Kluyveromyces lactis: one gene and its partner. The protein of the gene in region 2 purifies or fractionates together with the protein of the main gene of each other region. This does not show direct contact. Links are inferred from orthologs where the notes say so. Each region holds a gene or a part of one and is shown on either strand. Other genes may lie near its edges.

The links.
Region 1: the proteins of DBP10 (region 2) and NSA2 purify together in Saccharomyces cerevisiae (affinity purification with mass spectrometry; 3 studies listed by BioGRID). This does not show direct contact. The link is inferred for Kluyveromyces lactis from reciprocal best matches to the Saccharomyces cerevisiae genes DBP10 and NSA2.

Annotation. Positions count from the first base shown.
Region 1 is NC_006041.1:1,205,334-1,208,107, forward strand, and holds NSA2 (rRNA-processing protein NSA2), read right to left. Parts: upstream 1,287-2,774; coding exon 501-1,286; downstream 1-500. Other genes in the region: small subunit rRNA maturation protein LCP5, read left to right, coding at 1,514-2,701. UniProt on the Saccharomyces cerevisiae protein: Involved in the biogenesis of the 60S ribosomal subunit. May play a part in the quality control of pre-60S particles. Under normal, rapid growth conditions, high levels of NSA2 would allow the progression of pre-60S particles through the ITS2 processing.
Region 2 is NC_006042.1:2,294,830-2,298,896, forward strand, and holds the start of DBP10 (ATP-dependent RNA helicase DBP10), read right to left. Parts: upstream 2,801-4,067; coding exon 1-2,800. Other genes in the region: SLM3 (tRNA-5-taurinomethyluridine 2-sulfurtransferase), read left to right, coding at 3,395-4,067. UniProt on the Saccharomyces cerevisiae protein: ATP-binding RNA helicase involved in the biogenesis of 60S ribosomal subunits and is required for the normal formation of 25S and 5.8S rRNAs.

The sequences.
Region 1 (2,774 bases), on a different chromosome or scaffold from region 2:
CGCTAGTATCTGTATATGGACCAGTGCTAGAATCTGACCTAATAAGTGCTGTTTTGAAGGTAAGTTTGTGTATATCAAGCGCAAAGAATGTGTATGTATAATACTGAATATATATATATATATAGATAAAATTATTTGGTATGATTTGGTAGGGTAGTACCCTACTTTATTGTGAAACAATAAAGATGAATACTTAGGGTAACCTGAGGGTCCAGAAGGTCAATTGACACGACGTGTGAGTAGCAATTAGTTCAATGCATTGGAATAGCTGGTATCTCAACGGCAGCGAGGCATGAAATTGTCAGTCTCATTGGCTATAATTCAGTATTTAACGCTAAATATATGATTAAATAATGATGATTTAGCCAGTACTTTCTAATAAGGGAACTCAGTTCTAAAATGAAATAGTAATATACAATAACGTAGCGGAGTGGGGGGTGATGCAATAGGGAATAATTGAGATGAGTAGGAATTTTGGTAGTAATAGGTTGTACTTGTTCTTACACAAGTAGCACAGCGTTGACACAACCGTCTCTATCTGGCTCATTCGTGATTTGAGCATATTTACCCCAAACCACTTTACCACCAGAAGTAACCATACCTAATTCCGAGACGTTCACTTCAATAATAGTACCCTTGGTTAATACACCCAACTGTGTGTACATTGGCGATTGAGGATTCTTCTTCACCGCAAGAATTGGCAAGAAAACGGTGACTCCAAGTTCCGGATGCGTCACATTAGCCTTCTTTTGTCTCAAAGCACTAGGTCTGATAATCCTTTCCATCTTCACAGGCCTTCTTGTAAACCCTTCACCAACAAACGTATGTTTCGTGATCATTCTCTTCCATGCCTTAGACTTAGACTTACCTGTCTTAACAACTTTGAACATCTCTTCCTCACTGATACCTCTGACCTTAGGCAAAGGAACAGAAAACTTGTCAGCCTTCTCCAAACGCTTCTGCTTGATGGAACTGGATATAGCCTTTGCAGTGTTGTTCTGTTCTCTGTCTAACAAATAAGTAGGCAAAGCCTCCCCGTTCTCATCCAACGGTTTGGACCCTCCTTTAACTTTACTCTGCTCATGAGCACGGATCTTCTTCTTCATAGCAACCTTCTCAGCATAACGCTTCTTAGCAAATTGCTTACCCTTCCAACCAGTCAATTTCTGAGCCTTTTCAGAGATCTTATGAGCCTCACGGGCTTCTCTCTTACGTTTTCTCTCATCGTGGTCTAATCTACGACCATGTTGCTTGATGTGCTGTTCGATATATTCGTTTTGAGGCATCTTTGTTTTATTGTAAGAACGACTTGTTCGGTGATGACTTACTTCTAAATCACAAACGGACACACGGACTCCTTGAATGGACTTCTTACCACATGTTAACCCATGCGATGAGCTAGTTGTTCAAGTTGTCTTTGTATGCTTTTCTCATTGAAAGAAAAAAATTCAATAGGAAATGTCGAAAAGAAACGTAGTGAAAAAAAAAATTTGGAATCAAGCGATGAGATGAGATGAGATGGGTATCAGCCAGATACAAGTTTGGTTGTCTGGTGTGGGTTTGGCATAGGTTCGATCTACTGTTATTGATGTATAAAACCTCATTACATTCTATTGACAAGGGTTACAGCGGAAATATAGCCATGTCTGAGGAGTTAGGAACTGTTTTGAAAACGATTAGAGATTCTTTGAAATCTTGTGGAGAAAGCTTGGATAAGTTAGAAGAAGTCTATGATGATGAGGAGACCCATCCTTTCCAAGGTTCAGCGGTGGTAGGTCACAAAGGTGATAAATTAGAAAAAGTTTCTCTACTTTCTTTGAAGAATGGGAGTATGCTATCGTATTTGAATTCGCTTCTGTTGGTATTGGGACAGAAATTGAATAAAGAGATGGTTGTTGATGAGGGTAGAGTCAGGGCAGTGGAACAACGAGTTGTTCTTGAAAGAGGTGTGAAGCCCTTGGAGAAGAAGTTAGGGTACCAGCTGGATAAATTGACGCGGGCGTACATTAGACTGGAGAAAGACGTTGAAGAATCCAAGAAAAGAGCCGAATTGCAGGGACTGAGTGACGTACGTGCTTCCCAGGAAGAAGTATCAGACTCAGATTCTGATAGTGAAGAAGAGATGCAATATAGGCCGAACAGTTCAGGAATGGTCAATAACACATCAGTTGGAGGGAAAGCCAAGGGGAAAATCGCTGTCAAGAGTACTCACAATGAAGAAGATGTGGATGATAAAGATAACGTTTATAGACCACCTAAGATCAGTGCCGTTCTGCCACCAAAGCAACATCACTTCGAGGATAAATTCAACGCACAAGAACATAAGGATAAGAGTAGCAGGTCTCGTATGCAAGCTATGGAAGAATACTTGAAGGATTCCTCGGAACAACCGGAATGGGAAACTTCTATCGGTGCCAATATCGTCAACCATGGTAGAGGTGGTGTGAAGACAGCAAGAGATACAGAACGTGAACGTGATGTTCAAAGATTCGAAGAAGAAAATTTCACTAGATTGAACCCCAACGGATCCAAGACTGACAAGAGAATGAAAAAACAAAGAGAAATCATGGCCAAGGTTAATATGATCGCCGGTGAAGATTTCAGTATCTTCAACTCCAAGCGTAAGTTGGAGGATAGTACAAGCAGAAGAGGTAATAAGAAATCTAGAAATGCTTGGGAAAGAGCCAAGAAGAAGTTGTAAACCTGAGGTCCTTCTTTTTCTATGTATAAATAGGCTAAAATATCCATACGTCTCTATTGTCATCATATAGTGT
Region 2 (4,067 bases):
CCTTAACTCTAACACCTCTTTCCAAAGCAGCTTCCACTTTTTTCTTTTGGAAAGCGTAATCGTCTCTATGTTTATCAGGCAATTTAGGAGCTTTTTGAGTCTTGTGTTTGAATTTACCGCCAACCGTACGCTCCGATGGAGAAGTCGGATCAGCCAATAGATTCGATGGAATAGTGGATTCTCTTGCACCAACTTTGAGTGGAGCAATTTTTCTTGCCTTAGACCAATCTTGGAATTTTCCGGATCTGAAACTTGCAGGAATCTTTTGACCACTTTCTCCGATGATGTACTTTTTGTTGTCCAAACCTTGAGTGTTCACATATTTCTTACGCTTCTTGTCCCACTTAACCGTAGCTGTTTGCTTGTGAACTTGTACCTTGTCATCGTTGGCTAGATCAAATGCAGCATTGGAAGCATCATTTGTGAAACCAGATGATATCTGTAATTGTTTATCTTGAATGTCACTAGTTGGTGCGAAATGTGATAGATAAAAAGTTGGATCTCTGAAAGTTTTCTTCTGCTTCTTCTTAATATTTTCTTGCTCTTCTAACAAGACATCGGCATCTTCAAATTCTTTCAATACCTCATCAGGCACTGAGTAACCAACTTCGTTGTCTTCACCTTTCAAAATTTCATCTTCTATACTATGCCTCAAACCAATCATTCTCTCTTTTTCCAGAAGTTCTTGTCTTTCTTTTGCCTTCCTTTGAATTGGAGCTATTTGTCTCCTCCTTCTCTTCATTAACACAGACATTTCATCGTCTGGATTCCTTGCGAACTCGAATACAGTTTCCTTGTTATTTCTGTGTTGCAACTTAGCTAAGAAATCCAATTTCTCTTTTTCGGCGTTCTTACCGAAGTATATATTCTGTTCGTCCCATCCTGATCTGAGAATTTCCTTTGACCTTTTCATGGATTCAGCAGACGCTGGTGTCCTGGTTCTAAAGTAAAGTTTTTCGGCTTTCAGGGCAACACCTTTCACAGTATTTAACTCAAAGTCAGATTTGATCATATTGCTATAAAGGTCACCCATACCATCAATCTCAGAACGTGGACAAGCACCAAGGACCATTCTTGTGGTGTAAGAAACCTTAGGATCGGTGAAATTATTATTACCCTCAGATTCTGCCTTCTTTCTGAGTATCTGGCACGACGATTCATACATGGGTGTTAAAAGGATCTTCTTACCCAAGAATAATTCTAGATCCAAGAGATAAGGTAGTTCATTTTCAGAGACAATCGAAAAGGCCCAACCTCTATTACCAGCTCTGGCCGTTCTACCTACACGATGAATGAAAATTTTTGAAGAACCTGGCAAAGAGTAATTAATCACATTCGCTAACAAAGGAATGTCAACACCTCTGGCTGCCACATCTGTCACAACCAAGATAGATGTTAAACCAGCTCTAAAATTATAGAGCTGTTGCTTACGGGCATGTTGATTCAAAGCACCATAAATATATGATACTAGGTATCCACAGTTCTTCAATAACTGTGTGACGTATTCGACATGATGTCTTGTTGGAACGAAAACGATTGTTGCCTTTTCGGATGGCATTTCGTTCGCATTCGGTAAGCGCCTTTTGGATTTTTTAGCCTTCTTTGCCTTCTTTTTCTTTTCATCTTCGCTGTCATCACTGTCAGAATCCGCATCATTCTGCTGTTTGAGCTTCTTTATTTGGGACTCCGTGGCAACAGGCATCTTGATAGCTTCTTGTAACAGATATAATAGATTGGCTTCACGTTCATCCTTTTTTATAGATATAAATAACATCTCCAAATTTTCTGATATCTTCGTTTCAGCATCAAGTCTAACCAATACTGGGTTTGACAAGCCTGCCTTAGCAAAATCAACCAATGATGATGGCAATGTTGCCGAAAACAATAATGTTTGTCTATTAGTTGGGAATGCCACAAGCAGTTCATTCAGTTGTTCCTGGAAACCCATTTCGAATAATCTATCAGCTTCATCAAATACAACATATTCGACTGATTTCAAATCCAAGTTCATTTCAACTTTTAAATGCAAGAATCTACCTGGCGTAGCAATGACGACGTCAGGATTCCCCATCATCATACCGAATTGGTCTTCTAAAGAGTCACCACCTGTTAACAAAATAGAACGTAAATCCGAGCCTTTCGAAAACTCTTTGAAAACTCTATGAGTTTGAATGGCCAATTCTCTTGATGGTGATAAAATAACGGCTCTAACACCAATCTTGGCCGAATGGGTCTTTAATTTTTCTATCATAGGAAGCACAAAAGCAGCAGTCTTACCTGAACCGGTACGTGCCATACCGACAATATCACGCTTTTGTAAAATAAGGGGAATGGTTTTCCTTTGAATTGGTGTAGGTTGCCTGAAACCTTTCTTCGAGATATTAATCAATACTAGTTTTGAGAGACCGAAACTTGCAAACGAACCTTTCTTATGTTTAGCCGCAGCATCAGCGGTAGTGTTGAAATAATCGTTTAAGTCATCATCCGATTCATTCGTAGCCTTCTTTTCGTCGTCCGAAAGCTCAAGACTTGGGAACTTACTGTCCACAATGGGACCTGCCTTGACTTTGGCTTTCTTGTTTTGTTTCTTTGGTTTCTTCTCTTTCTCTTCCTCATCACTAGAAAACTCGATAACATCTTGAACTTCAGCTTGGAAACCAATATTGTCATTATCATCATCAGAAATGTCACTATCTTCACTATCAGCATTTAAAGCAATATCACCAGCAATGTCGAAAGCATCCTCATCTTCGGAGGAGTAATCTTCTGCTGGGAGAGCTCTTTTGCTAGAATCAACCATTACTGTTAAATTTGATTAACCTGAGTTCGATATCTAACAGTTGATTTATGGCAAACAATGATTGGCCTTATAATCAATACGATATAAAAGAATATTTAGCACTACTGATATTAATGAGTTACTATCTCATCTCATCTCATCTCATCGCATCTCTTATTTGGAAAGTGATGTATTTTCAAAATTTTCATAAGGAAAAAGAAATAGTTTTCAAGACCGGCATAAACAGAATTAAACATCAAACTGACGCTTTGTGTGAAACCAAGAAGATCAAGTGACCTAAAACAAAAACTTCAACATTATGTGTCACGAATATTACCAAACTCAAGTAAATAGAACGTCATACTCTAAAATTTTACTATAACTATTTCAACTTGTTTCCCTGAATTTCGCCTCTGTACATTATCTTGGTTTTTTTTTTTCTATGCAAGCCAATCAATTCAGTATCTGACAAAAAAAAGTACATGAAGATCACAACTATAACTTCTCAAGGTTTACTGAAATAAGTACCAGCTATATCTTGTTAAAGCACCATAAAAGTGTCCCGAAGGAGATGCACCACTTTATATAGCAGACGGACAGAAGTTGCGAGGAATAATGTCGAAAATCACTTCAAGATTCTTAGAATTATGCAAACAAAGACGGTTGCCTGGATATCATGTCCAATCCATGCCATCTAAATTTGATAATATTGTGGTAGGAATGTCTGGTGGAGTAGATTCTTCTGTATGTGCTGCATTATTCGCAGCTTACCCGAACGTTCATGGAGTATATATGCAAAATTGGGGCAAAGATCAATCATTGACTAGACCAGAGGAGGATCCATGTTATGAGAAAGAATGGAAGGATGCAGAAAAAGTAGCGAAACATTTGAACATCCCAGTGGAGTTTGTGAATTTTGAGAAAGATTATTGGCTAAATGTGTTCGCGCCTATGTTAGAACAATATAGTATGGGCTATACACCAAATCCTGACATCGGTTGCAATCAGTTTGTTAAATTCGGAAAGTTGATGGATCATCTGGATGTGAAGTTCGGTAAGAACAACTACTGGTTGGTGATGGGACATTATGCTCGAATACTACGAAGAGATAGTGGTCCAGAGAGATCTGAACCACACTTGATGCGCGGATTGTATCAACAGAAGGATCAAAGTTATTATTTATCACAAGTTTCTGTTCCTTCTTTAAATCAAATGATTTTACCAATTGGTCACTTGACGAAACCGGAAGTTAGAGAGATGGCCAAAGAAGTAGATTTACACACTGCCA